Linked DNA regions of Medicago truncatula. Each later gene encodes a partner of the first gene's protein in a complex. Links are inferred from orthologs where the notes say so. Each region holds a gene or a part of one and is shown in the gene's direction. Other genes may lie near its edges.

The links.
Region 2: mediator of RNA polymerase II transcription subunit 25 (region 1) and probable mediator of RNA polymerase II transcription subunit 26b share a complex: the UniProt entries of both Arabidopsis thaliana proteins name them as parts of the mediator complex. The link is inferred for Medicago truncatula from reciprocal best matches to the Arabidopsis thaliana genes PFT1 and AT5G05140.
Region 3: mediator of RNA polymerase II transcription subunit 25 (region 1) and mediator of RNA polymerase II transcription subunit 27 share a complex: the UniProt entries of both Arabidopsis thaliana proteins name them as parts of the mediator complex. The link is inferred for Medicago truncatula from reciprocal best matches to the Arabidopsis thaliana genes PFT1 and AT3G09180.
Region 4: mediator of RNA polymerase II transcription subunit 25 (region 1) and mediator of RNA polymerase II transcription subunit 31 share a complex: the UniProt entries of both Arabidopsis thaliana proteins name them as parts of the mediator complex. The link is inferred for Medicago truncatula from reciprocal best matches to the Arabidopsis thaliana genes PFT1 and MED31.

The regions. Positions count from the first base shown.
Region 1 is NC_053046.1:24,549,206-24,557,071, forward strand, and holds the start of mediator of RNA polymerase II transcription subunit 25, read left to right. Parts: upstream 1-4,699; 5' UTR 4,700-5,016; coding exon 5,017-5,114; intron 5,115-6,163; coding exon 6,164-6,194; intron 6,195-7,437; coding exon 7,438-7,501; intron 7,502-7,866. UniProt on the Arabidopsis thaliana protein: Component of the Mediator complex, a coactivator involved in the regulated transcription of nearly all RNA polymerase II-dependent genes.
Region 2 is NC_053048.1:41,746,194-41,754,350, reverse strand, and holds the start of probable mediator of RNA polymerase II transcription subunit 26b, read left to right. Parts: upstream 1-4,871; 5' UTR 4,872-4,995; exon of another isoform or gene 4,996-5,248; intron 5,249-5,696; 5' UTR 5,697-5,738; coding exon 5,739-5,747; exon of another isoform or gene 5,748-5,848; coding exon 5,849-6,286; intron 6,287-6,500; coding exon 6,501-6,569; intron 6,570-6,672; coding exon 6,673-6,755; intron 6,756-7,121; coding exon 7,122-7,180; intron 7,181-7,293; coding exon 7,294-7,433; intron 7,434-7,543; coding exon 7,544-7,571; intron 7,572-7,686; coding exon 7,687-7,997; intron 7,998-8,077; coding exon 8,078-8,157. UniProt on the Arabidopsis thaliana protein: Component of the Mediator complex, a coactivator involved in the regulated transcription of nearly all RNA polymerase II-dependent genes.
Region 3 is NC_053048.1:50,166,506-50,174,687, forward strand, and holds the start of mediator of RNA polymerase II transcription subunit 27, read left to right. Parts: upstream 1-5,023; 5' UTR 5,024-5,093; coding exon 5,094-5,370; intron 5,371-5,470; coding exon 5,471-5,636; intron 5,637-7,193; coding exon 7,194-7,641; intron 7,642-8,182. UniProt on the Arabidopsis thaliana protein: Component of the Mediator complex, a coactivator involved in the regulated transcription of nearly all RNA polymerase II-dependent genes.
Region 4 is NC_053042.1:49,976,798-49,984,103, forward strand, and holds the start of mediator of RNA polymerase II transcription subunit 31, read left to right. Parts: upstream 1-4,277; 5' UTR 4,278-5,349; coding exon 5,350-5,410; intron 5,411-5,471; exon of another isoform or gene 5,472-5,491; coding exon 5,492-5,558; intron 5,559-5,634; exon of another isoform or gene 5,635-5,904; coding exon of another isoform or gene 5,905-5,936; intron 5,937-7,178; coding exon 7,179-7,276; intron 7,277-7,306. UniProt on the Arabidopsis thaliana protein: Component of the Mediator complex, a coactivator involved in the regulated transcription of nearly all RNA polymerase II-dependent genes.

The DNA.
Region 1 (7,866 bases):
AAACAACAATATTCCATCACAACCATTCATGCAAGCAAAACAGCACTCAAAACTGCACAGCTCGCCTTGCGAGCACATCTGCTCGTTATGGCGAGTTCACAAAACCACTTGCTCGCCATGGCGAGTTCAAGGCGAACTCGAGGCGAGTGAAAAATAGGTTCTCTCGGAAAAAATGACATTTTCTCACTCAAACCTCAATACTAAGCTCCCTATTCATCTTTTTAACCTAAAACTTGTTCCAGTCATCATTAATATCATCTAGGTACCTTAAACCATCCCCAAAACATCTTATAACAACTTTTCAAAAATCAAGTTTTGTCCAGGCTTGCTCGCCATGGCGAGTTGGTCTGCTCGCGAGGCGAGCGATGAAGTTGCTCACTCGCGAGGCGAAACATGAATGCTCGCGAGGTGAGCGATGAACTTCTGTACGGGCAGAAAACTGGTTTTTCCCCAAAATCCCATTTTTCTTCAATTCACTCCCCAAATTAGTTTACAGATGTGAGATAACTTACTGTATGCACTCAGAACCTATTTCTAACATCAAAATCATCATTACAACTCCAAAATCAACATTTCATCATAAAACCCCTAAATCCCAATTCTCACCAAAACTCTGTTAAATTCAAATTCAGAAATTAAAGTCTATACTACTGAAGTAAACCTCACCCTTACCTTAATTCAGAATGAAAAATGCACAACAAAAGGATTCTCTTGGGTTCTACTTGCTCTTCTCTTCTTTCTCCCAAAACTGACAGTTTTCACGTACAAAGCTTCTGACATCTAATTCCTAACTTCCCTCTTACTTAACTCCCTTTATTTTCACTTAACTCCCCATTAATTCTAATCAATTTTATTAACTCCCCAAACATCAAAATAATTATTATTTCACACTTATTCTAATTATTATTAAAATAAACCATATAATAAAATATACACACCACATAAATCACCAAAAATCATATATATATATATATATATAGACTCCACATAAATCAAATAATTAAATATGACAACTAGGGCGTTACACTTTTTCTGTTCGCCTCGAACTCGCCATGGCGAGTGCCCTTTTTCCTAAGCTCGCCATAGCGAGCAGATGTGCTCGCGAGGCGAGTTGCCCAGTATTTGTTGGATTGGATTCTGTTGTAGATGGTTGATTTATCTTGATGATTAAGCATGACTTTTATATTGGTGTATTTTTATGGATGTTCTATATTGATTGTAATGGATGCTGGCTGGATGTATGCTTTTAATTAATTAAGTTATACTTGAATGTTGTAAATTGGAGTGGTGAGTCATATACACATATATGTATAGGTTGGGTTGTATGTAGATATACACAAGTGGGTCAGTTGCATAAGCATAACAGTGGGAGAGCTTCGGATCTGGAACGCCTTGTCGTTCAAAGTGGTGGAGTACTAGTTGCTCAAAGTGGTGTTAGTGGTGAGGACTTATGTCCTGAAAATGAATGCTTTAACCATTCTACAGCGGTGAGGGCTACGGTCTTGATTTTGGTACCACATGCATGGTGTTGTTAGAGGAGTCTTAGTTGAGTGGTGATGAGTTGCATGAGTCGTTGAGTGAGTTATTAATTACCATTTGTTGATGATATTGGAATTGATGATATTTATATGTTGTTGATGAATTATGTGATAGGGTGTTAGATTCAAATGATGCATTCTTTATCTATATTATTGTTGTGAATCTCACCCCTTCTGCTTGAAAATGTTGCCCTTCCTATGGGTAACTTGCAGGTGATCCTGAGTAGTTGGTGGTGGCTCAAAGTGTCTAGCGCTCTGATACGTGGGATGAGATTTTATGTGTTTAATTCTTTCCTATGTATCAAATTTTGAATATTGCTGTTGTAGCCCTATTGATGATTGGTTTTGCTTGTTGAGGCTTCTATGCCATGAATATTTATTGGAGATGATTGTTAATTAAAGTTGAATTATTTCGCTGCAAGTTTAATGATGAATTTTGAAGGATGTTTAATTAAATAGATTTTTATATATTCTATTTAAGAAATTTGAAATTGTAGTGTGACATGCCCGTTGGGGTTTTACTCTGATGTTGAAAAATTATTATTTAATTGATTTTGGGAAACGGGGTGTTACAGTCGGGGTTTGAACTCTGAAGCTTGCATATATTATGCATTGCCCCTACCAACTGAGTCAAACTGACAAGGACTTATCCGTGGAAATTGGTTACTCTTGTGATGAGCATTATCAGTAATTAATTTTTTTAAAAAGAAATAAATTAAAATTTTCAAAATGACAATTACGAAATCGTGGGAAGTGTAACCGCCTGTGAGTTTATTGCGGGAACATGGAAAGAGACGTTGGAGTTCGTTTTAACCAGTCTCTTTCGTTCCGTGCACCCACCTCGCGTGGAAGGGGTGTGTCGCGGGTAATTTTATCAAACGTGGTGTTTGAACTTTATAGTGTATTGGGCCTAAGTAAATGGGCCAAAGATCCTTTTGGCCGGTCCAGAACATATATAATTGGGGGTTTTATACTTGATAACTTGCAAATAAGTTGATAAGTGCTAGTGAAAATAATTATAGTTTGGCACTTATCAATATACTCCCTCCGTCCCAAATTGTATGTCGTTTTGGAAAAAAAATTTGTCCCAAATTATATGTCGCTTTACAATATCAATGAAATATTAATGTTACTTTTCATATTATATCCTTAACTATTAATTACTCCCTCTTCTTTCAATTATTTCATTTATCTTTTCCATACCATTTATTAAGGATAATTTTGTAAAACAACTCATAATTTCTCTTCCCCACACAATATTAATTACATTTCTTAATACGTGTGAAATGGCCAAAACGTCATACAATTTGGAACGGAGGAAGTAGTACACAACTCTCTCAGATAAACATCTTACTTTATTAAATCATATACTATCTTGAGTATTAGAATTTTGGTTGGTACACCACCTCCCCTCTATGTGGAACACACAGAAAAATACTTAAGTGGACAAAAGGGTTTGAACATACACACATGATTGAAAAAATATAGAGAGAGAAAATAATTAAATAATATTTCCTTTTTAAATAATTAAATGAAATATAATTTTATATGTGAGTGTCTAACTGATGTGTCTAAATGTTTGTGCTCAAGCAAGTCTTTCTCGTGGAACACATATCTTTGTTCTCCAATATTTAATGGTATCTTGTGCTGCTTCTTAAGACTATTGACATAACATTGCCGAGCTACTTACTGATCTGCATTAAGTATTCAACTTTCTTTTCTCCTAAATTACCTCATAAGTCTTCTAAAGGTCTCACATTTCATTCATCGATCCATTTTCAACATTCATCATTTTGCATTGCACCTTTCAGTTGAGGAATTCAAATTTATGTTCAAATCTTGAAACTTCTCTAAAATTCCAACCCTTTTTATAGCTCATACCCTTTAGTAGTATGACAAATTAGAATTAGATGATAATGATATTATTTTATGGGCTTATAACATTCTATTAAAATAACTTTTGATATTTTTTTAAAGAATCTATTAAACCCACAAGATAGATTCTTCTCTCTCAATCATATTTTTTGGATAGACAAAAATGGTTAATTCCAAATAACATTTTTAAATATTAATTTATTAGCGGAACTATCCCCTTTTTTCTATTGTATTTTGTCATGTTTATATTTAATATTATTCTTGAATTTAAATTAAAAATATATATTAGATTGTAACAGAAAAATACTTAAGAAAATATATTTGTTTTGAGGTTAAAATCTTTCAATTAAAAAATAGTTAGTTTTCAAATTATATATAAATTTATACTTATATTTAACTTTAAAGTTGACCTTATATTTATACGATGCTATAAATTATTAATTTTTTAAATGGACTTTATATACTAGTGGAGGGATTAGTTTATATGTTCTTTTTAATTGTATCTTTTATTTTTGTTAACTAAGCATCATCTACATAGTTTATTTGACTTTACATAGATTAATCATTCGAGTCGGATAAAACTACAATGACTCACATACACAAGCGAAGGTACCAGAATTCAAACCCCGATCATGACATCCAGCCTAACAATTTTGACATTTTTCCAGAAAGCGACCTTCTTCTATTTTTAGAGAAAGCGGTCTTCTTCTATATTTTTTATGATTATCATAATTGTATTTTTTGACTTTGTCTAAATATTTTATCATTTACTTTAATTTTGTTAAAAAATAAATCATTTACTTTAATTAATGTTATCTCTACAATACTCTCTCCATTTTTAAATATAAGCAAAATTGATTTTTTAGATTCTTTTAATTAATGATGCATGTGGTTCATATTATGGTTCATATTATCTAATAGCAATTTTTATGACAACCTTTTTAATCTTATTTCTTATCTATAAAAAATAATAGAGAGGAAAACAAAAAAATCATATAAGTAAGAGAGAGAAAATTATTCAAAAATGTCATAAAATATTCGTACAAATATCATTTTCTCTTAGTTTAATGGAAAATGTTACATGAACACCCTTTATTCCTACACTCCATTGTACACTCCATGTATTAGGGATATTTTGGTAAGTTCATCTCACAACCACACTTTATCTTCTATTTGTGTGGGGTCCAAGTTGCCACGTGTCAGAATTTTGTGTGGATGTAAAGGGTGTATTGCCACACATGTATCATCACTCTAGTTTAATAATACTAACGACCACATTTTGCGTTGTTGTCCATCTGAAGTGGTTCGTTGTCAGAATTTCTTCCCCAAACAAACTAAGGTGAAACTAAACGACTCCGCTGCCTTTGGCCACAGTCATCACCAAAAAGTAACAGAAACAAACTAACAGAACAATTCCCACATTCATTGTATTATTTTTCACTCAATTTCTTTGTAATAATAATAATACAATTTCTTTTTCTTTTCAATTTCCCATATAAACCAAAATCCAAAGCTGTTTTGTGTTATATAAAACCCAATACCTTAATATTCTGTGTGCTCTCTTCTGTTGTTATTTCTTTCGTTTTCGTTTCAAACAAACACTATGGCGGAGAAACAGCTTATCGTTGCTGTTGAAACCACTGCAGCTATGGGACCTTATTGGGATACTCTTCTAATGGATTATCTTGAAAAAATCGTCAGGTTTGTTTTTCTATTCATTTTTCAATCAAAATTAGGGTTTGATTTTTCAACTTTTTTTTTCTTGGAGTTTAGGTTTTTGATTTTAGTGCTGTAACTGAATTGTGTTTTGATTGTTATTGATTATGATTATGAAATGAAGATGAAGTTCTGTTGTTCTTGTAGAAATGATGTTGATTCTGTTTATTAAATTGTGTTGATTGTTGTTAGGTTTGGTTTATTAGACTATATTTAAACATGTTGGGTTCGACGTTTGAACTAATTGCCGGTATTAGTCAAACATGTAAGCTGGATCTGACTCTTTAAAGTGAGCAATTCACATTAGAGTGTAAACCAAGTTATATCAACCATTAATTAACGGATCAAAGATAGATATTGCATGTATATCGTAACAGATCATGAGTTTATCAGAATGATAATCATTGGTTTTCTCATTTTAGAGGATCTAATAAATCCATGTGAACAATTTCGTATGATACTTGGTTGAAATCGATATAGATGTGTCTCTTCTCATTTTGATTCAGCCAGCTCTGTGTATTGGCAGCCTCAAAGTTTGTTGTGTTTTATGATTCGTATCACATGAGTCGGTGCGAATCTTTCTGCCATGATCCAAATGCTTCTTGCCAGTAAGATACTATTCGGCTGTATAGGTAACATTTTGGCGTAAAGCGGCTCTCTTAGCGCTAATGCGGAAAAGAAATGAATCCAGCTCAGAGGATATGGAATTCGTTGAAAATTCCAAATAACTTTTTCCTAAATGAAATGAATTCTTGGAAATGAGAAAGTTAATTAGTCGTGTCTTATCGAACACATTTATTATTCCCATACTTCTAAGCGTAACATTTTGGAAAATCTAGATTTCCCTTAGCGATCACGCGTAAAATCTAGATTTCCAATGGGTAATATGATTTCCTCTCGCACATAAAAACACTATTCTCACTAGATATGCCGTATATACATGTACGCATGCATACTTCAGTCTATATTAATGGCTATATATCACCACACATCTTATGATCCACATGTTTTAACCTACTTTGGTATTCTTACAGGTGCCTTGGTGGGAACGAGTCGACTGGGCAGGTATACATTTTTACTTCGGTGAAAATTTCAGTCTTTGAAAAAAATGAAAGAAAATATTAGTATTTAATGTGTCACTTGACCACTTTTGATTAGTCTTATTTCATATGTAGTGAGTGTATGTTAGTTATTTTCATTGGCTTTGGATAAACATATTGTCTTTCCTAATGGTTTGACGACATAAGTAGCTTGTTATGGAAGTCTATTTATCCAAAGCTAATGCTGCATTTTTAGTCCTTATAACACATGGTATGGCGGTGGATAAAGACTCGGAAATGTTTAAGAACAACTATACGAGTCAATTCATAGCCTCGCTACACTCCAAGCAATTGATTGTTATTTGTTACCTTCAATCTTACCTGAACAAGGCACAATCCACTATTCAGTAGCTTAAGTTGGTATTGTCTAGTGATGATTTATAGAAGCCGTTGGCTAAGCTTGATAATATGTTCATTTCATTCTTTTTATATGCTGGCATGGATGTTTTCCTGTTAACATTATTGCTGGGTAAATATCATTTGCTTTGATGATCAAGTAGGTTGGACCAGACATGTTAGAATATAATAGAGATACTAGCATATACTAATTTACTAGAAAAGGGAAATGCTACTAAGGTCCTAACTCCTAAGTCTATTGCTCTTCAGAAAAATATAGCTTTTGTCTCGGTAGTGCAACTAAAACGGAAAGACCACTCTAGCTGCCCTAAGCCCTCTTTATGCTCACCCACATAATCAAATGCCACCACCTTCATGAACAAATCGATAGCAGATTTGGTACTGGAAAGATATGCGGCCAACAAAGCAACCACTACGAGAAGTTGTAATACAGAGCGAAGCTGTAGTTGTTATCCTGCAATAGTAGACAACTTTAATATAACAAATTCTATCCAACTGAACTAACTATAGGAAAATTCTAGCACAATAGCATGCACATCTAAGCTATTGTTAAACATAGAAACTCATATTCTATCACTAGAAATATCAACTTGTTGTGGTCTCTTCATTGCCTAGGTTTTATGCATTATACTTAGGTCTTCTTTGCTTTTTTTCTCCGATACTATATGATCTGCAGCTCAGGGTTTTGCTTTTAGTCTTTTTTGGTGAATGTCCCGTAGGGAATCATTTGGTAAATGTTCAGATATATGCATTTGTTAGAATCATACTAGTAAAATGTGTTTTTCTTGTTGTCTTGTGTAATGAAGGTCTTGTGATTAATCTATTGATTTTTTTTTCCCCTTCTTTTGCAGAAGCCTTCTGGTTCCAACGTCGAGTTTTCCCTAGTCACCTATAATACTCATGGGTGTTATTCTGGTACAGTTTGCTAATTTTCATAATTCCTGCTTTGTGAAAGCTGTTCATACCATAATTTTTGATAGCTTCAGAATCAACTTCTTGCTGCTACCTGTGTTAGCTGATTTATTTTTAATTTATACCCAGTTACCATATTTAAGTAAACTGTTGCATAATATAATTTTTCTCTAATTTAAATTCAAAATAAATCAACTTCTTTCTGCCACCTGCTATATAATTTAATTTCTCTCTAATTTAGATTTAAAATAATTTTGTTTAAGGTGGCACAGAGTTTTACTTGGTATAATATCCAATAACAAATCATTAAAAAGTAAACTGGTACATATTGGTAAAGAAGGAAACTGATTAAACATGTTTGTACCTAT
Region 2 (8,157 bases), on another chromosome or scaffold:
ATTATATGGTGATACGTTTGAAAGTCGGATGCATCTCTTTGCTTAATTTTGTTTAATCAAGTGTTTGTTTTTAATTCTTATAAAGATTGTGTATAAAAATATGTTAATCAATTCAGCTACAAAATCACTGCGTGGAAGCCAATGGAATTATGTAATTGTTTTGTTCTATCCTTCTAATATTTGTTTACTTTTTACTTTGAAGTAAACAAATTTGTTCGATGTATTTTGGGAACCTATCTGGATATGCGTAGTAAAAGTAAATCGATGAAAATTTTGTTCAATTTTACACTTTTAATTTGGTGAAAATTTTTGCTCACCATATTCTGAGACAATATATTTACATTTTTCTATTTGAAGATTTTTTTTTTTAATATATTTACACTTTTTAATTTGAAGAATTTTTTTTTCTCAATATATTTACACTTTTTTATTTGAAATAATTTTTTTTAAGGATTATTTGAAATAATTTTTTTGTTCAATATATTTTGAGACAGTATATTTCCACTTTTTTGTTCAAAATTTTGAGACAGTATATCTACACTTGTTGGTTTGAAATAATTTTTTTGTTCAATATATTTTCGGACCAAATCTGAATATATGAAAAAAAGAATAAATCAATGAAAATTTCTTTCTTTATAAAAAAAATTGTTTTAAATTTTACGACTTTAATTTGAAGAAAAAATTTCGTTCAATATATTTACACGTCTGATTTAAAATAAAAGATTGTTTTTTTTATATATTTTGTGAAGCAATCTGAATATATGTAGCAAAAATAAATCAATCACAATTTCGTTCAATTTTACATTTTTAATGTGCACAATAATGTATTTTCAATATATTTTTACGCGTAGGGCTGATATGTAAGACGTTTTGAAAATAATTAATTATCTAATTACCAACTTGATTCCTCATGCTTTTCGAAGGCTCTTATCGATATTGTTTCGAAGGCTCTTAAAATGTCACATATGAGAGATTCTGGCGAGGAAAATCTTAGCATTTAAGAGGTCCAAGTGACCCACCTCTCTTTTATGGAAATCTCTTTCGTGTACCATTTACTTTGCGAAATGAACTAACTGTTTTATAATTAATCACTTCGTCTTGTCCCAATACTCGTGTTTTTAGTATTCTAATTATATCCGTAAACAACTTTTTCTTTAAAAATGTTGTAGTGTAAGATTTCATATTTTAAAAGTTACAAACATTTATAAAAAAGATCATTCCTTATTTATTTATTATATTGATATTCTGCCATTTTTATAATATTGTTATTTTTAAAATAATGATTGCATGTATTTTCTATTATAATTAATAACATGCCATTTTTATAATATTTAATTAATTATGAGAGCAATTTTTTAATTTAATTATAATGATGTCTTGTTTGTTATCATGTGCGCATCAAACACATGATAAGATTAATGTTTATCATGTCATTATCATATTTTATCTCCATCTAACTTTATATCATATCTTACCTGTATCATATCCTGAACATCAAACAGACCTTAATAATGTTCTTAAATCTTCTAAGCATTTTCCGGAGTGTATAAAAAAAATGTACAAAGTTTTTTTACTTCTTCACAATTATAGTGCATAAATATAGCCTCCATACCGTAAAGAAAAAAATGTATGGACCAAATTATTTGGACTTCAGTGGCAAGAAGCTTCTTCGATTGACGTATCCGAGAAATATCGAATTCAATTCCTAAGAAAAATAACACTTGATCAGTGCACATGCCTCTATGCACGAGCCAGATTAGTCGCCACCTTTAATAGATCAAAAATCAGTGCGAAAGAAAAAATAAATGTACAAAGTTTGTATCACAAAATCATGTGTGACGGTGCAGTGAACTTGATGTGTCGCCGCCACCACCATACCATAGTCTCTCACTTCCAAATAACAACACGTCAACTTCTTGACCACCACCTACCCATTTCCATTTTTATGTGTCCATCACCCACAGCTTTTTCTTTTGATGATACTCACTCTTCCATAGTTTTTTAGCTCAAAACCTTCATTAATTGAATAGTAATATGTACGTATATTTTGAGGTAGTTAATTGGTGATTTACTCAAAAAATAAAAATTGAACATGTTAAATTTAACCAATTATTTACTTTCATTTTTATTAAAATTTGTCCATGTAATATGTACGTATATTTTGAGGTAGTTAGTTATCTAGTTATGCAAGTTGAATAGTTAGTAACTCGTGAAGGTAGCTTGATAAGAGAACTAAAGAACATTGAATAAGTTTTAAAAAGAAGGTCTCAAATTTGATCCCAAAAATTAATATAATCATTAACTTAGTGATGGAATTTTAATGATACTTTTTAATTCAGAGTATTATTTCTGTTATAGTTTATTACGAATGAAGTTCCCGATTAAAAGATTTTTTTTATTTATACATTTTTTTTAAGCGGTGTCAAATAATTAAATAAAACAATTTTTATGTGAGGAAGGAAGATTTTTTAGATATGTTTAAACGTTTCAGGTTTGAGCCTTATTAGTATCTTTAAAGAGAGATAAATATAAATATATTTGTAGTTGTTCTTTTGGTCAAAAGATCTTCTTTTACCTTAAACCGAGCGTCTTCCTCTCGCTCTAAATCTTTTTCTTTAATAAAAAGGAAGTTTATTTGTTGTTTATAAAATTTGTGGTCATATCATCTTTTGTTTGTTATAATAATATTAACTATTTTAGTCTTTGACTATAATTATGTGCACAATTAAAATAATATTAAAAATAAACCATTATTCAATTTCAAATTAATTGTGTTATTTTACCAAAAAAATATTTTTGGTCTTGAATAAAATTATGTATTAGCAAAAATTACCTGAAATTTTAACTTGGTCCCTTAAGTCATAAAATAAAACTCCTATTATTGAATTGATACTTTATGAATCATCAACTTAATTTCGGATAATAGTTAGATCCATTATTTATTTTTGTTTTAATTTTGTCTTTTCGATCTTTTTTTTATGAATTTTTAAGTTTCAAATTTATGATTTTATCTTCTTCTGACTTTTTGATTTATAAATTTATGATTTTTCATACAATAAAAAATATAAACAGACAAACACATACTTAAAAAATGGTAATACTCGTCATTCCATTAGTTATATGGAAGAAATGATAAAATGAGTGAATGAGTAAAAAAGGTAAAATTATATTTAAAACTTGGTTATCAATCAAAGTAATTTTTTAATTTATACCGAATAAACTTAAAAAAAAATAAAACTATGCATAAGAAAAGATAGAGTAAAATCTTTTGCTAATAATTATATCTAAACAGAAAGATTTGGATATGTTCGAAGAATATGAGATTAAAATAAAGAAAACTCACAAAAACTTGGTTGTATTTAAGCACCGAGTCTAGGGCCCCACATAACTCGTTCCTTCAGAACCGCTTTCTCGGCCCTATCTATCTATATCGCACCACATTCACTACCTACTTTCTTATAATATTTTTTTATTTGAGAGATTATTGTTTTTTATGAATATTCCGTGTATATCTTTTTTACTCAAGAATTCAATCAAATTCAATTAGTTATCTTTAGAGACATTTTAAGAAAGTAAATAATCAAATCAACTAATATATTTTGTTAGAGATATTTTTAGGGAGTAACTTAAAAATATGTTATTATTGTTTGATTTAGTTGAATTCTTGTATACAAAGTCTTAAATTAAATCATTTTTATTCCGGAAAAAAAATTAAGTCATTTTTATTAGATTTAACTTATGCGAATATTCCGTCAAAAGGAAAAATTACACATAAATTCAATCAAATTACTCGTTATTAGATTTAACTTACAAGAACATTTCATCAAAAGGAAAACTTACACATAAATTCAATCAAATTACTCGTTATTAGATTTAACAAACACGAACATTCCGTCTAAAGAAAAACTTAAACATAAATTTAATCAAATTACTTGATTATGCCTTCATATGTGGAAATACCTTTTTCGTATTGTCGTCCGTAAATGATTTGATTCATTAATAAAGTGTATGTTTATCGATTATGTTGTTTTTTATAACCGATTATGCTATTTTTTAAACTAGTTCGTAAAATATCTCCACAAATATCTATTAGACGTGAGTTTTATAATCTTATCTTTAATTTTATCATTTGTATGGTAAATTTTTATTTATATGGAAACACCATATTAATTATAAGATTATATGGAAACAATCCGTTGAATATAAAATTGAACCATTCTTGTCAAAATAATAATGATAAAACTTGAAAAAAAAAACCTGTTGAATAGAAAATAGAATATAAAACTAGTCAAATTAAAAAAATACAAAATAATAACGAGAAAAATTATATATAAGTAATGAATCGACAAACATTATGCTCTTTTTATTGTGTTAAAATTTATAAGATTATAAATAAGTGTTTCATATAAGAGTTTGATTTTGATTAAAAATATAGGTGCTCTTTTTATTGTGTTAGAATTTATATATTATAAACGAGTGTTTTATGTAAGAGTTTGATTTTGCTTACAAATATAAGTGCTCTTTTTATTGTGTTAAAATTTATAGATTATAAAGAAGTGTTTTATATAAGAGTTTGATTTTGATTAAAAATATAAGTATAAATATTTGTTTTGAAGAAATTATATAGATATAAATATTTGTGACTCTTAAATTACAACAAACATAACAAAATATGTTTATCTTTTTCGATTACGGAGTATATCAACAATATCATAAATATAATATAAATTGTTTTTTGATAAGAAATATAATATAATTTTTTTTTTTTTAGGGAGGTATATTCTTATATTTTTTATGGGCCCAAAATATAGGTAAATTTCTTTAAGAAAAATCAGTCCAAAAAATACCCTAGATATATTATATGAAATAAAAAAATAGTAGCACAAAGAGACAGAACTTAGCACTTCTCTTTCTCCACATCTTCTGTTGCTCTTTTTCTAATCTTTCTCTCCAAACCAAATTTTGTTTCGATCAAAGTCAAAACACAACCAAAAGGTATCATCACAATTCATAAAACCCTTTTTTCTCTCTCTAAAAGTACTTCTTCTTGTTGGAAGAGAAACAAAAGTACCAAGTTTTTCATACGCACGCGGTATTGGACTATTCATATACCATACCATCATAGTGCAACATTACGTATACATTAAAAAAAGCTGTTACAATCTACATAGGTAGATAGATATTATTATGATTATGTTTTTGTTTTTGTTACACTGAATCTGCAGTTTCTTCTTGTTAGATTTTTCAGGTGTCTTATTTTTTCCTTAAATTTCGCTTCTTTTTTTTTTTTTTAGATGTTTTTTTGTACCTTAAAAAACAAAACAAAAAGGTTATTTCTTCTTTTTGAGGTTTTTGGTTTTTATTCACACCAGAAAAATGTGAAACAATACAATATTTTTTACATAACACACAACGTAGTAATTTGTTATCATATATGCGTGTTATGTTGTTTTCTTGTTTCTGGTTTATGTTGTTTCTTGTTACCGAATCTGTTCCAAAACCATATCATCATCATATCCAATTTTCTTACCGAACATTGATCCAATCAAATTTTCCTAAATGGGATACCCAAGAATATCAAATTTAAATTAAAGTTAATAAATTTACAAACTTCCAAGAATTTGATTCTTGATTATCATTCTTTCAGACTAAAATATTCACCCTTTTGATCATTCTTTCGTCATTGTTTTATTCAGGGTTCAAGATCAATACCTGAAGAAGAATCAAACCGATTTTCAATGACCCAAGTGAGAAAAAATTGAGTTTTGAATCGTGGGTGATTGTTTATTATAACATATTTGGATCTAGCTGTTGAAAGATTGAATTTTTTGTTGTTTTGGGATTGAAGATGAAGTCAGAGTCACTTGATCAGTGGAGGAGTTACTTTCGTTCATCGAATTCGGATATTTTCGATATAATTGACCATGCAATTGTTGTTGCTGCTTCTGATTGTCCAAAGGAGTTTAAGTCTAGGAGAGATGGAATTGCTGAGAGATTGTTTTCTGTTATGCTGAATCGTTGTAAGGGGTGTGAGAAGGTTGAATTGTCTGTGCCTGATGATGATAATGGTGATGAACTTTGCAAGAGAAGTTCTGTTAGAGAGGGTGCTAGCAAAGAGAGCAAGGTGGATTGCAGTAGGGAAGAAAATGGAGTGATGGATGCTAACCCTATTAGCAATTACAGCTTTGGAGAAGCTGAAGCTTTAACTGATGAACTTGAAGAGCAATCACAACTTGTTGCTGAGGTTACGAGGATTAAAGAGATTCTCAATAACCATGAAGATGAGGTATAGTCTTTTCTTTTTCTTTGTTGTTTGCATACTGATGCATTAGTTCTTGATTCTTTGAATTATAATTTTCATGAATGTGTGATGTGATTCTTGGAAAGGATACGTCTTGATATGGTGTTTTTTGGATGGCATTTTTGTTCGTGTTTGAAGGTTGAATTCATTTGTGTCTTATGATCACTGATTAGTGATTGCTTGTTTCATGTTGCTACAGTCTGACTCGGTGCTGTTTGAGTCTCTGAGGAGGCTTCAACTGATGCAACTCTGTGTCGATCTTCTGAAGGTTAGAATTGATCTTTCTTAGTAGCTTTGGGGGAACTTTGTGTTGTTTCTCTAGTACTTTTTTTAAGATTGTTCTCTTAACAATCAGAAATTAAATTGTGCAGTCAACTGAAATTGGAAAGGCTGTGAATCATCTGAGAAAGCATGGATCGAAGGATATCCGTCAACTAGCACGGACTCTCATAGAGTATGGTTTAGTTTTTTCATGGATTTCAGTTTCTCGTCTGCGGATTGTGGTTTATTTTATAATCATGGCCGCTGTGTTGTTCAATATGCAATTCACTATCATTATCCTTAACTAATCAGACTGTTGCACCGATTCCATAATCATGGTCACAAGTTATAAGCCTTAGTTAATTTGAACCATGTTCTTAGTTAGTCATGTGTCCTTGATGTTAACATTGATGACATGCTTTAGATAGGTGAATGACTTGGCCATTATTGTTTTGATTCATATCATTGTAATAGTTGAGATGCCAAATCTGTTAATGTTTTCAATTGGATACCGAACAAACTCAAATTCTAAACTTGTTTAATGTTTTTTAATTTCTAGTGGATGGAAAGAACTGGTCAATGCATGGGTGAAGGCGACGACAACCACACCTGTCGCAGGTAGAATTTTTTATCGACCTTATTAGTGTGGTATTGATGAGTACAACTATGCTGGTTTCTTATTCGATTTCAAAATTAATTCATGTCGGAAAAATGCTATTGAATGTTTGTAGCTTCAGAAGAAGGCACACCGGACTCCAGAAATCCATCTGTTGTTGAAAATGAAGAAGAGGAAGAAGGAGGACTTCCTTCACCTCCTTTGGACGAAGGGGCTTTCTTTGTTGCCCCAACCGGTACGATTGAACTCTCACAGGTATATATACTTGTCCTTTTTCCCTTCTCAAACTTACATTTCAAAGGCTTGTATATATGAAACTGAATTTTGGTTTTTCCTTGTGTTGTATATATCTGGACGATGTAAAGTTCTTTGATGGCATGGATGACGATGGAAGTGAGTTGAATTTGCATTTCATATGTTTAGTCTACCTAGCTTTCGTTGTTACGGTTCTGTGTCTAAATTCCCCTCGTCTTAAATTGATGATTGTAAATGGGGAATGTTTTTTCAGATATTCGAAAGAGTGCACCATTCAACAAGAACCGTGACAACGGAAGAAAGCCAGCTCTTGGCACTCAAACTAAGGACAAGAGGAATTTTCCGGCATCTAATGAAACGGCCGTCACTGCCAAGGACAACAAGAGTCAGCACATGAAGAAAAACGAGGCTGCAGCTAGGCCTAATAAACCAATGGCTGCTGATACTGGCCGTGCAAGACCGTTAAACTCGAACATTCAGCGAAAAGCCAATGTGGAGCCAAAGATGCCGCCGAAAATTGAAAACAGTACTGTCCCTAAGAGGCCTCTCAATGCTCAGCAAGATGTAAGCAAAATAAAATAACTCGTATGTGCATTAATTTTGTAAGTTTGTGGTTCTCTCTAACCTTAATTTTTATGTTTCAGAAGTCCAAGTGTTCAGATGATTTGGCTAAGCTTGAAGCCACTAAGCGGAGACTTCAAGAGAGTTACCAACAAGCTGAAAA
Region 3 (8,182 bases), on another chromosome or scaffold:
TGTACTAACGTGGTGTTTTTTTTAATAAGGTACCGTTTGGTCCGGTTTTTTTTTCAGTTTTTCTACGTTTTTAAGGAGAAGTTAGGCCAAACACAATATCAATAAAGTACCTTCGAAAAAGAGTACTTTTTTTAGAATGCATAAAATTGAATGGAATGAGCTTTAACCAAAAGTTGTTGAATGCTACTTCAAAAAACTATTTCTTCCCAATTTATTTCACAAGCACCTCTCTTCAACTCCCGTCGGCAACCTTTTGTTTTATTTTTTCAATACGCTTTTTTCATCCATTTTATTTTTTTTAACCGGTCCATTTAATTTTTTAATGAGGTTCCATTTAAGTTTATTATCTATTTTTTTAAGGAATTTTATTATCTTTTTATCACTTATATATTAATTTCGATATCTTTTGATCATCACAACCACGCAAATATTTGTATTCACGCTGTCAATGAATGACACCGAATATTTTTATTCCCTTTCTTCAACCACGGAAATACACACACACATTAGTGTTTAGAGTAATACTTTATGTTCCTCTTTCTGTTTTTTTTTTTTTTTGTTATGCTAATGCGTATAATTTTTGTTAGTGTTGTGTAATGCGTATAATTATTTTTATAAAATTTTGATTTTAATTAAAAGTACAAGTGTAGTTGCCTAAAAAAATTATACTTATATATAATTTACACATTTGTATTGTAACAAACTATGCATATCTTTTTCTTATTAAAAAAACTAAACATATCTTTTTCAATGACACCAGCAATGTAACAAATATAATATTATATATATAAATTCTTATCTTTTTTACCAACACTAAAAATATGGTATTCTTATAACAAAATTTGTTATAGAGTATAATTGGAAAAGAAAAAACCAATTATTCTCATTATATATACACACATATACATATTATAGATATGATTGAGCGTGACGAAGAAAGCAATATAAATGAAGAAATCAGTTCATATAATCCAGGAAGAGTGCAAGATGGAGGCTACATGAATAGAGTTAGAAATCAAATAGGAGTTGCGTTGATGGAGAGTAGAAATATTTGAGTTTGTGATGATTTATGTCTTTAAAAAAATGATTATTGTTTTTAATTTTCCAAACTACTATGATATTATTTATGTTATTATTTGAGCCTCCTTAAATTATTTATCCTATTCAAATATTTAACAAGTCGTTTATATGATGATACAAATTTGTATTCATGTTACACAAAATAAACGTCATTGAGTAAATATAGTATTGGTAAAAATATATATTTTATATTTTAAATATTTTTTCCCTTCAAAAAATATTTTAGACATTTTTTTATTAATTATGTTAATTCATAATGAATTCAAAGTTTTTTTATTTATAGACAATGCATAAATATATGCAAGGTCCCGGGTTCGAACCCCAAACACCACCAAAAAATAATAATTCAAAGTTTTGTACAATATTTTGCCAAATAGCTTTTAACTCAAAAATAACTTTAGAACTAAAAAAAAAATAAAGAAACCAAACAGCTTTAACCTTTTTCTTAAAGAGCTTTATTTTAACTTTGTTTTAAAGTAGCTTTTAGACCGAAAAAAAGTCTGGCCAAACGGTACCTAAAAGTGGGTAGTTACTTATAAATGTGGGTAGTTTTTTTCATTAAAAAATAAATTAAATTAAATTGATGAGGATAAAATTGGAAGAAAATATAAAAAGCTATGAGCTCCAAGCTCAAAAGCTACTTGAAATAGCTTCTCATAAAAAGTTATAAACTCATGAGAAAAGCTCGTTAACAAACACATCATATGGCTGTGTTTGGTAACACAAAAAAGCTAGCTTATAGCTTGTTGGATTAGCTTATAAGCTCGTTAGATGAAAATGTGGCGTGTTTGATAACAAGCTTTTTTCATGAGCTTATAGTGTTTTCTGAAAAGCTATTTCAAGTAGTTTTTTGGCCTCATTTGGATTGGCTTATTTTGAGCTTATGTGGGCTTATCTATTCCCATAAGCCTTTTTAAAGGTGTTTGGGTAAATAAATAAAAATAGCTTATCATAGTTTCATAAGCTGTTTATGGCAAATTTCAATAAGCCTAAATTTTCAGCTTACCCTCCGGCTTAACAAAGAACTTATGAATTTATGTAACCTCCTTCGATTCTCTCCGGATCCACTTTTCAAAACATATATTTTAATTATAATATTAGTTATCTTTGGCGGTGCATAGTAACAAAATTCCTATATACTTATCTTACTAAAGTAACACATGTAACTAAGATTTTTTTTTTTTTAAGGAATATTTTTATTATTTTTTTGTTACATAACAAAATGAAAACTGAATAAAAAAAACAAACTTAACTTGATATTTTTTTAAGGACGAATATTGATTATACTATATATATATAATTATAATTAATATATTATAATATTGTTTTTTACATCTTGATTAATTTTATCAAAAAAAGTCTTGATAATTGTGGTTCGATTCTCTGATATTTTTGTTAAATTAAAAATATTTAAAATTTCAATAATTGCTTATGTAATGTCACATCCAAACACTTCAATTTATGTAAATACTTTTTAGTGTACATATCGAAACATAAATAGCTTATCAAGTATAAGAGCTTATGATGTAAACTCTAATGCTATAAGCATCTATATAAGTTGTTTATCCAAACGGGGCCTTTAACTTATAGCTGGTAGCTTTTTATATTTTCTTCCAACTTTAACCCTATTAATTAAAATTAATTATTTTTTTAATTAAACAACTACCTATGTTCATCTTTATAACCGCCCCATTTTTCCCTTAAAAAAATACCACGTTTTTTTTAGGAGCACTTTATATATATATATTTTTTTTAAGGAAATGCTTTATATTTTGCTATAACTAACCTGCTCTACACCACACAAAAAATAACTAGCCTATTTTTTTTTAAAGGAAAAAATAACTAGTCTATTGTACGTTTTAAAATTTTATATATTCTAGCTCACATTTTGTTTCCACCTTTCTCTTATTTTTGGGATTCATAAAGCAGAGATCAAAATTGTCGGTGAATTTTTTTTAGGATTAAAGGTCGAAGAATAATTTTATGGAGACTAAGACCAAAAGTTTGAATATTTATAGGGACCAAAAACATATTTAACTATAATTAAAAATATTAAAAATAAATACATTACAAAAAAATGTGTGTGTCTATATGTATATTAAAAAAAATAAATATGTCATTTTATACTTATCAGTCACTTCAACAACTAATTTTACCAAACACATTATTTTTAATAAGCAAGCTTTTTAGCTATAAGTTATCAGCTATCAACTAGCTTTTCAGCTATCAACTAGTTTATCAGCTATTAGCTAGCTTATAACTTATTTTTACCAAACAGAGCCATAAGCTAAAAAGCTACTGGAAATAGATTCTAAAAAAAAGCTATAAACTCGTGAGAAAAGCTTCTTACCAAACACATCACGTTTTCATCCAACGAGCTTATAAACTAATCTAACAGAGATATAAGCTAACTTTTTTGTGTTACCAAACACAACCTTAGTATCTGAGCAAAAAAGGAGTTTACGTGGAATGAATCGTACATCGAAGGATGTTGGAAGTCCCTTCTTTTATAGACCAAAATGCAAAGATCCAACGAGTGATGCAAAAGGTGTTACATATTCTACAAAACATAATATCATGTCTCTCGAGGTCTCTCTTTGACGGAGAAGGAAAATGTATTTAGTGTTTGGGTTTTGTTGGACATGTTTATGAGCTTTAGCCGGTATTGGACTTATGTTTGAACCATGAGTTGTCGAACACAACCCTAGGGTGCGTTTGATTTGCTAAAAAATGAAGGACAAGACAGAACAACTCTAGTTGTCCAGTGTTTGATTTGTAAAACTGTTTCAGGTACAGGACAAACTGGAGGCAAGGGACAGGACAAAAACTCATATTTTTGTCCCTTACCAAACCACAACACAACTTTTTGTCCCACGTACAAGTTGTCTAAAACATCAAAATAGCATTTTGTCCCTCAAAAATCGTATAAAACAAAAAATTACTCAATGCCATAAAAAATTTGTCCTGTACTGTTCTGTCTTGTGTTGTACTGTTCTATCTTGTACTGCTCTATCTAGTACTTGCTGTTTTGCAAACCAAACACAATATTGAGAGAGCTTCTCATGTATCTAATTTTCTAATTTGTTGTAAACGCATATGTCAAATTTCCATATAACTTTTCTTTTTCATTGTTACATCCCATTTAAAAAAGAAATGCATAACATATGCAAGGTCTGGGGTTTAAACTTCGATCACCACAAAAAATAAAATAAAAATATTCAAACTGGATGTTTTATTTTCTATAGTTTTCGGCTTGAAAAATTAAGTCCTCTCAAAATAATGTATTTATTTTTTTCGTTAACTTTTTGATTTTCAAAGGGACGAGACTTGTAAGGTAAATAAAATTCGATCAAAAAGTGTTATGCAAAATGTAAACTCATATTCTCTAAAACGAGTGTAATTTTGTAACAAAAAAAAAAACGAGTGTAATTTTTTTTTAAATAACCTAATGACTGGAGCTCAGACATTTTAAATGTGGAGAAATGAGATGTTCGGGGTTTGAACCCTGATCGGCATATACTATGTATTGTTCATACCAGAGCTAATCTTATGGAGATAAAACAAACATAATTTAACTTAACACATTATACATATGTGTCAAATGAGTTGTGTTATTTGAACAACCATTTAGGTGACAACTTTGATGACAACCATAAATTTACAAAGAAAAAGAGGTATTGATACAAAACCAAAGCAATAGAGAGAGAAAGTAAAAATATAATACGAGTATGAGATAGAAAGTTGTCACAAAAATTGTTAAAAAATGGTTGTTCAAATATCATTTCTCGTGTCAAATATACTAATATCTATTTTTAGAGTTGTTTTTTTTAGGTGTTAACCGTACAAATTTATTTATGTCATAGTGAGTGAGTTTAAGCAGTGGTTACAGTTTGTATTATTTGATGGGCCTTTACCGTTAAACGAAGGCCCAATCCGAGTTGTACGAAAAAATACTAACCGAGGAGGATCCCACTATCTTTTTGCTACCATCCCCAGCACCAAAAACAGTGCAAATGCAACAAACTCAGCAAGCCACGGCGGCAACTTTCTCAACCCCCACTCCTCCTCCCTCCTCCACCGCCGAAGCACCTCCGAAGCAGGTTGCTCTAGCTATGGACAAACTCGGTCAAGCCGAACGTATCATCGCCGACATCCGAATTGGCGCTGATCGTCTCCTCGAAGCTCTATTCATCGCCGCCGGTCAACCTCATCAAGGCAATAAGCCTCTTCAAGTTTTCGTCAAAGAGAATGCTTCTATGCAACAGCATTTTAAAGACCTTCGATCCCTCGGTATGCGTTTTCAGTTTCGTTGCGTTTTGATTGATTTTGATTTCGCGATTAGGGTTTTGGTATCGTCGGTGTTGTTTGATTGATTTTTTCGATTTGATAGGAAAGGAGCTTGAAGAAGCTGGAGTTCTTAGTGAAACTGCACGGTCACGGAAGGATTTTTGGGGATTGCATATGCCGCTGGTTTGTCCAGATGGTGCCGTTGTTGCCTATGCTTGGAAACGACAACTCGCCGGTCAAGCTGGAGCTTCTGCCGTTGACAGGACTAGGTTTGTTTCCGCTCTTTTGGTTCCTTGTCAACATACCTAGCAGACACCGAACACGACTCAAACTCTTAAACGGTTGTAGTAATTTAAGAAAATAACATAATTGAATGTAATCACATGTGTCGGTACTACAAAGCAACTTACAATTTTCCCTTTTGTAGTTGGTTCATTTTGATGAATGTTATGGATAGGAATCAAATCCAAAGAAAAAAGAACCAATGGAATTAATCATTTTTAGTTAGAAAATATTCTTTTTCCTTTACGAAGATATGCGCATACTTAAGAGTTAAGAGGATATTTTAGTTCTTCGAATCGTAGTATTACCTCCGGAATTCATAACAAGCAGTAGTTATACATGATATGAGCTTTAGCCAAGTTATGCTGCCAGATAACTGCCTCATACGTGCCTGAGTTGTGTGGAAATACAATTAGTACAGGTATGCTAGGTTAGTGTTGTAGATTGTTAGATGCAAGGGCCAAGGTTATATGATAAGAACATGAATAACAATGCCACTTGGGGTGATGCGAGCTCACACATCATATTCAAGCTCTAGTCGGTCCAGTCACATGAATGTGTGCTGATCTTTTCAAGGAAGCACTTACCGGATTGATTATACATTTTTTTTTTTAAAATGAAAGAAATTGGCAAAATTACACAATTTGTCTCTTTAACTTCAAGTAATACTTTCGTCCTTTTATCTTTTTTTTTTTTTTTCCGACTTAATCCTTTATGTTATAAAATGTCATCATCATTATTTCTTTTTTTATTAAAAAAACTCACCAAACTCATAAACAAACCCATTTTATCTTCATCATACAATTCTAGAAATCCAAATTTAATTGAAAAAATCCCTTAAACCCATGAGTCCATTTTCTACATAACCTTAATCATTTATTCCCAACTCATCAACAAAATCAGCCATAACCAAAAGAAAAAAACAACCATAACCAAATTCCAACTCCGTACCCAAACAAAAGAAACAAAGAAAATCGAAGAAGAAAGGGTGAAAAAAGATGAAGATCCTTTTATGTTGTTGGAGTGCTAGGTTGATTGACGAGAGAGAAAATGAAGAAGATGAAGTTTTGATGAAATTTTGCATTTTTTGACGAAGTTGTGAGTTTTGTGATGATTTTTATGGATTTTTGATGAATTTTATGTATTTTGTTTTTAATCTAAAAAGGATAATGGTGTTTACATTTTATAACATAAAGGATTTAATAAAAAAAAAGATAATATAGGACGAAAGTATTAGCTGAAATTAAGTTAAGGGACAAATTGTGTAATTTTGCCAAAGAAATTCTATTAAGGAGCACGAATGGCCAACAAATAAGCCTATGCATGGTTGAAGTTTTGGAAAGAGAAAGCGAGAAAGGGTCTCATATTTTATTGGAATTAAGTAATATTAAATTAGGTTCTTATTTCAGATTTGATTCAGGTGGTTAAGTTTAGTCAGTAGATAATAAATACTCTTGGGATTTGTCGGATTTATCATACTGACTTCTCAATGCTGCTGACCCATGTTACATTAGCTGCTCACTTAGGCTTTTGAATGATTTCAGGTTAGCTCTCAAAGCTTTTACTGATCAGAAAAGACGTTTTTTCCCCCATCTTGATGATGGAGTTGAAGCTAATGAATCAGATTCAAAGAAACGTTGTGGGTCTGAAGAAGTCACATTTGAACCTAAGGAAGTAATGAGTTTTCTAAGGACGCTGCCAGATGTTCTGCAGTCCTTGGAAAAGGAAGTGCCAAATGTGAAAATTTCAACTTTTGAAAGGCTGGACTGGTTAAAATGTGCTTCCACACTCACCTCTTCACCAAATGAGAGTTCTGAGGAACATAACTATCGTGGTTCTAGTAAGCGAAAGTTAGGATCAATGGGAATGGTTGCTCCAGAGAAGGTTGCAGTCATAGAATTGCTGTGCCCTTCTATCTTCAGAGTTGTTATATCCTTGCATCCTGCTGGTTCCATTGATCCCGATGCTGTCGCTTTCTTTTCTCCAGATGAGGTATGTTTATATTTACCATGGTTTGTCTTTCCTAATATTCATTACGGGGTGTGAACTATTTGTTCTGGATATCGTATTATAAATAATGACTCGGCGTTAGTTTTGGGATGCTTATGTATCAGGTAACTGACAATCTCAGAAAATTAAGAAATTGAAAATGTGATTGTATTTACTCATCCAAGTCTAACTGTTTCCCAACCTCCACTCTGCATAACTGCCATGCATGCCTTGTAGCTTTCTCTCTCAATGACCATCTTGGCAGAAAGTTGCAACTCTTATCCCCTCTGAAATTTTTTGATCTAGTGCTTCACATCTCTTCTTTCTCCTCCCATAGACTTTAGTTATTTTGAATCATGGCGCCAGGCCTGTAACATCGTGGTTAAAAATATTTTCACTTTCCTCTCTTTTGAAGCCCTAGTTGATTGAAGTGTCGATTGGCTTTTTCTAAATGAAGCTTGTATGAATCCCATATCTAATTCAGCTGCCATACAACTTAAATTTCATCTTGCACTGTTAATTTTCACTGTTCTTTGGTTCTCTA
Region 4 (7,306 bases), on another chromosome or scaffold:
TCTGTCTCCGCCAGTCAAAAAAATCCCGTCTGTCAAAATATTAAACTTCCGTTAGTTTTTGTCCACGTGGCAAGTATAAATGGCAAAAAAAAAATTAGAAACCCAGAAAGTAGGGTTCTTTCATCACCATTCATGCCTCTTCTCTTCTCTCACATTCCAATCCATTCTCCTCTTCATCCTTCCCACTCGAATCTCTTCTGTCAAATCAAATCCAACATCACAAGAGGCTCATCTTTCAATTTAAGATCTTCCTCTTCTTTTTCATTGTTATTGCTTTCGCCACCGCAGTTAGGTTCTGCCGTCACAGGCCACCAAATTCCACACTACCAGTAACGAACATAAATGAAAAAATAACATACAGAAGGCCAAAATACAAGTCTGCATTACCCCAACACACACAAACGTTGTTTGAAAAAGGGTTTGGTTAAAGAGAGAAAAGGGAAAATTAGTGGCTATGGTGTGAATAGAGAAAGAAAGTGATTGTAATAATGAGAACGATGGTGAGAAAAACTCTATATTAACAATATATGTTATAGCCACTAATTGGGTTGTTTATTTCTCACCATCCTTCGTTGCTTATTGAAGAAAAACTAATATAGTGGGTTGTTAATTTTGCTTGCTGTTGATTGTAATGATAAGTGAATGCTGCTTATTGTTTAATCGAATTTCAATTCATTCTTCTTCGAAGAAAAAAAAATTGGGTTGTTTATTTTGATTTTCTGTAAATTGAATTGAAATTGGATTGGATTTTTTTTCTTTTTTCTTTTTTGCAAATTTGTTCAGAGATGAGGATAGGGAAGAAGCTAGATAGAATTATGAAGAAAGGAAAGAAAAATTGGTTGATGATGATTTATGAGTTTTTGGATTTTTTTTTTCTTTTTAAGAATGTTGATGAAGATGATGAAGAAGTTGAGGGGGAGAACGATGAAGAAAAGGAAAAAAAGTTAGGTGTTGCTGGTACATCATAAGATAAAATAGACATGTATAATCTAATGGTTCTTTTAAAAAATAAAGATCAAACGATTTAAATTAAAATATTTAATAGGATCTATGGTGGACCACTCTAAAAGTAATCCATCATAGACATTTGGGGTTAAACTTAACAGCCAAGGATTTATTTGACCGACGGAGATACAATTGAGGGACCAAAACCTGACTTTTATTAGTTATGGGACAAAAATCAAAACTTGAAATTAATTAAAGGACCAAATGACCTATTAAGCCTATATTTTGTCACTCTTTTTTAAAGAGTAAATAGTCAATTACCCCCATAAAATTGTAACTTTCGTCAAAACCCCCCTGAATTTTGCAAAATGTAAAAAACCCCCCTGAAATGGTCAAGCGTCTGTCAATTACCTCCTCCGTTAATTTCCTCCATCCAACATGCTGATGTGGCCGTTAACTGCCACGTGGCGCTGACACATGGTCAGGAAAGTCATGCCACGTCATAGGGGGGTAATTGACTATATTTTATTTTATTTTATTTTTGTTCGAAATTTTCCTTCATATATTATATAAAATAAAATATAGTCAATTACCCCCCTATGACGTGGCATGACTTTTTTGACCATGTGTCAGCGCCGCGTGGCAGTTAACGGCCACATCAGCATGTTGGATGGAGGAAGTTAACGAAGGGGGGTAATTGACAGACGCTTGACAATTTCAGGGGGGTTTTGACGAAAGTTATAATTTCAGGGGGGTAATTGACTTTTTACTCCTTTTTTAAAACTTGTCTCTTAAACTATTTATATCTCGTCTGTTACTGCCTCACTTTAAATCCATACACATCACTCTTTTTTCTAATACTACTCTCTTTGATATGTTGTACGTATCAAACGATCAATGTTTTACCGTTATTTTTATGTAACAATGAAATTTATTTACCTTATGTCTTTATGAATATTAAAAAATTAAATTTTAATATTCATTAATTAATGTAACAACACGTCTTTAGATCTTGTAAAAAAACACGTCGTTATATATATATATATATGCGCGCGTATGTAAAATAACATTTATTAAATTATATTTTTATAGGTTAAATAAACTACTACTATTTTTTTATTATTTGATAAAAATAAAATAAAATAATAATAATAATTATTTTTTTAAAGAAATTATTTATTTTTATTTTTATTATGTTACACTAATTTTGCAATAAAAAAAGTCTAGAGAATTGTTGTTCCCACATTACATATGGCTGTGCCACACGAGTAAATGACGTTTTTGTTCCTGCGGTAGTTAACTACCGAAGTTTAGAACCGGCTGCAGCTTCGGCAGTTAACTGCCGACGAAAAAACGAAAAAAAAAAAACCTCGGCACTTAAGTGCCGAAGAACTCATAATATTTTTTTTTTCAAGATTCTCTTAGACTTTAACCTCCACAATTGGAAATATTAAAAACTTACTATCTCATGATTTCATTCAAGATAAATATAAATAATGAAAACTTACTACTAACAATATATTATATAGAAAGAAATGTGTAATGCACTAATGCTACACATGCAATTATGTATAATTAAATATGAAAGATGTTAAGCCTATTGTGATTAGTAGAATTATTTATTTACTTTCACAAAAGCTAATGAAGAATTGCTCCTGTTGATAATATTGTCTTTGTCTAATATGGTCCACTGTATACTACTCCCTCCGATCTTATTTATAAGAGAAGGTTGACTTTTTAGATTTGAATAATATATGTATCTAGTCAATAAACCAAATACATAAATTATTTGATGTATCTAAAAAGTAAATTGTCTCTTGTAAATAGGACCAGAGGGAGTATATTGTATCAAAGTGGCAAGCACATTATTTCTGAAATATGTAAGAAACACTTCAGTGTAGTGTGGAATTGAAAGTCTAAGAGAATCTTGAAAAAAAAATATTATGAGTTCTTCGGCACTTAAGTGCCGATGTTTTTTTTTTTTTTTTTTCGTTTTTTCGTCGGCAGTTAACTGCCGAAGGACCTTCGGTAGTTAACTGCAGCCGGTTTCAAACTTCGGTAGTTAACTACCGCAGGGGCAAAAACGTCATTTACTCGTGTGGCACAACCTTATGTAATGTGGGAACAGCAATTCTCAAAAGTCTATACCCCTTTACCCCTTTCTATCTCGTACAAACTTAGAGTATATTTTTATAATTTTCTTTTTATTTTATTTTTTGGGCTTAATTGCACTTTTGGACTCCTATCTTTTCAAAAGTTGCGGTTATGGATCCATAACTAATTTAAATACAAATCAGCCCCCTATGTTTTGATTCTTTGGCAGTTTTGGACCCCAGTACATTGTTGATTCGGTCAACGCTGACGTGGCACCCTAAGTGAGGTGCCACGTGTCAATATTTTTTTTGTTTTTTTGCCTTGGGGGTCCAAAACTGCTAAAGAATCAAAACATAGGGGGTTGTTTTGTATTTAAATTAGTTAGGGGTCCATAACCGCAACTTTTGGAAAGATAGAGGTCCAAAAGTGCAATTAAGCCTATTTTTTTGTCATTTAACTTTATTCCACACACACCATATTTATTTCAAAGTTAATTTTCTCTCTCTTCACCAAAGAAATCTAGAAAACTCTCTCATTCTCAAACAAGCCCTAGCCGCCGCCGCCTCCTCCCTCCTTCAGTGTGTCTCCGGCAGTCGTTACATTGCTCCACCATCTTCATCCTCTCCTTTTCATCTGTAATTATACTCTATCAAATTTATTTCAACTCAAAGATGATTTTAAATTTCCCTACGACCATCTTTTCGGCTAGATCTTGACATCCACGCACAAGCTTTTGAAAATCCATCACCATAAAAAGAGTCCCCTCCATCTTCTCTACAAAACCCATTTAAAAAAATCAGGAACGGACAACCTTCGCCGGTGACCACCACGCCGGAGCTTGCAACCACCGCGCCGGGAAAGAGCTTACGTGTTTTCATCCCGATCTGGGTCAGAATTTTTACACAAACACTTAAACCTGGGCTGTTGTCTTCATCAAGGTCAAGTTCTTTACATATTTTGTTTCCATTACATGCAACAACAACAATACAAATATGAAATTGGATGTGATTTTGTTTTATTTCTAGAGATGTAAAAATTTCTTTTGTAGATGAATCTTTTTTAGTTCTGATGCTACTGATAAAAAAGTCTGTTTTTTTTTTATACTACAGATTGATAACAAAAATCTATAGAACAGCCTTTTTTTTTTTTTCTTCAGAATTTAGGATTTTTTTTTTACAGAAGAATAAAATTTTTATTTGTAAATCAAAAGAATTTTTTTTTTCACTTTCTGTTATTACTTGTTATGATTTAACAAAAAATTCACTTACATTTTCTTGTAATATGACTCAAATAATATTCATTTCTTTCTAAAAAATTCACTTTATGCTATTACTTTACTTGTTGTGGTTTAACTAAAAACATAGTTTTTTATTTATTTACAAAGCCGAAATTGTTATGCATAAAAAAATAAAACCAAACTGATACTAAACCATATTCTCAATTCTTTCACTCTGAGAATCAGCTGCTCATCCCTCTATCTCTTATTTATGGGCTCTTTTTTTTTTTTTTTTTTTTTTTTTCCTTCCCTTATTGCTCGTATGTGATCTGGAATCTTCCTGACAATGAAAGGATAAACATTAGATCAGCTGACAAGTTTGCAAGACAAACAACAAACAAACTAAGAAGGCACAATCATCAGCATTTTCTAATGAATATATTTTGTATATTTGCTTTTTTGTTGTTGATATAATTGTAAAATTGTGTTAGGACTGTTTTTGGATATGTATTCTTTCTTTAACTTCTCATCTTTATACATTTTCTTGTTTTGCCTCATATGTGATGTTGAAGATTCTATAGTTTGTTAAATATGTCATATGTAGCTCAACAATAAAATGAAGATAAAAAATTAAAGAAATAATGAGTTTAATGATCATTTTCATGGTTTTGTAAAGATGAAAAGAAATTATTTTACCTGTCTGTGTTCTTCCTTTTAAAAAGAATTTCCTGCAATGAGAGAAGAAAATGAAGCTAAAGAAATGAAAAGAAGAAAAAATGTAGATAAGAATAAGTCAGAAAAAAGAGGAAAGGAAAATGAAAGAATATGAGTATTGAAGGATAAATATAAAGTCTGTTTGAAATTTGAATTTTGAAATTGAGAATTTGGCTCCATTGATTGGATTCCGTGTCAACCAAAATCTGGCTTATAGTTGGCATGTAATGGAACTGACTTTTTGAAGAGCAAAATAAATCAAACTATAAGCTTTTTATAGTTAAATGACATCATAGTAGTTAAGTGAGGTCATTTAGTTAGAAAAAGTAATTTTAAGACAAAATTTACCCTTAAAAGTGATATGTGGCAGCCAATCATTGATGGGCAAAAATAAGTTTTCCACAACATCTTCCCTTCTTATATTAAGAGAGATATTCAAAGGTGATCTGGGTCATATAAAAGTTCCAAGCTCTAACCCTGCTAATTATATTTCATTAAATAGGTGTGTTTTTGTTCTTGTAGTTGAGGATTCTGTTTCCATGGCCTCTAAAACTGAAAGCGGGAGTCCAAGAGATACCCCACCATCACCGTAAGTATAATTGTAATCTTTTTTAATTTCAATGCCTTTTGCATGTCACATTATCATGGCCACATTTTTTTTTAAGGTTGTGTTTGATATTGATAGGCCCAATACAACACTAGTCTATCGTAGAAGGGGAGCAAAGGGGAAAAGTAAGCAAGGGGGTGGGTCTGCTATCTCAACCCAACCCGAGGACAATAAGGGGACAAATAGAGTAGGCCTCCAAGTTTATACAAGAAAGAAGAAAGACGTATCAAGGGGAACAACAAAAGTTGTTGTGGGAGAAAACACAGTTAGAGGAGGAATAACAGAAGGGACAAATGGCAACGGGAGAGTATAGTGTTAGAGATAGTGTATGGACCGGGCCTTGAGCCCGGCCTCTGTAAGGTAGGTGTTACAGCTGTCTTATGACAGCTGAATTTCTCTGTTGTTAATAGCTTCTGTTGGAAGCTTCTAGTTAGTTAGAGTCAGTAGCTTGTTCTACAGGCTTCAAGTTGGCTAGAGTTTGTTACACTATGTATCTGTAATAAATAAAAAAGTAGTATAATTGTTATCATTCAACCAATTATAATGAATTCTGATAACATTCTCTCATTTTCTTGTATTCTATCTTTCTAACATGGAGAGATATATGGAATCATTTCTATATAGTTAAAGGTGGGGGGTCAGAAAGTCAACATTTTAGAAAAATTGTTTGTGATGGTGAGGCTAAGCCTTTGTGAAGAATGTTTTCCCTTCCTCTGTGATTCCCGACTCATTAGTCATGATCAACCCTTGTGTGACAAGCCACAGCCGCTCTCACTGCAAGCATTAGAGTGTCCATCATTAGCCTCTTTTCCTGTCAATTACCTTCCTGTTTCGTCCATTTGTCTCTAAGGATTCCCTTCCTGTAGATTTCATACTCTCCCAGGATTGGGAGCTTTGATACAAATTTGATAAAACAGAGACCGGTAAAACCTAAAAAATTAATGGCGAGAGCGAAAACAGGAAAGTTGGAATGACGGGAAAAAAAAAAGTAGAAACGAGTGCCTACAAGTGCTGCACAATAGAGCTGATTCTTTATCGCTCCACTCTCCAATTGGCATATGCCCCTTCTGTCATTCCTCCAACTGTTTTATCCGTCTCTGATTTTTTAGTTTTGTTGTTCCACTTGATGCGTCTTTCATCCTTCTTGTACAAAACTTGGAGACTCGGTCTTTCTAGTCTCTTATTCTTCTCGGATTGGGTTTAGACAGCAGCTCATCCCTCTGATCAGTCTGCTCTTTTACTCTTTTTTATGATCGGTCTTTGTTATAATGGGCATATCTGGTAACAGTTTGAAAATTTAATTTATGGTGCAAAAGATAAGGAGAGGCACTTTATGCTGGAAAAGTTATTAGTTTAAGCCTACCAGGCCTGGTTGGTTTTTTAGAGGAACTCTCAAGCCACCCTGCATAAATTGGTTATAACCAATAGTGTTTGTGTTCTATTCAGCATGAAGTGTGTGCCCATTTCAAGGGCTTTCCGTATACTACAAATTTTAATTTGTTCTGTCTTAATCAATTTCTTTTTTCATTAATAGAAGTATGATTTTGGGATTTGTTGGACATATTGAGCTGTACTTAAGCGCTGATGGTTGTTTTTCTCTAGGCCAAAGAGTATATACAAGGATCCAGATGATGGGCGACAACGGTTTTTGCTGGAACTGGAATTTGTTCAATGCCTTGCAAATCCTACCTACATACACTGTATGATTTTCATTTTATCAATAAGAGTTT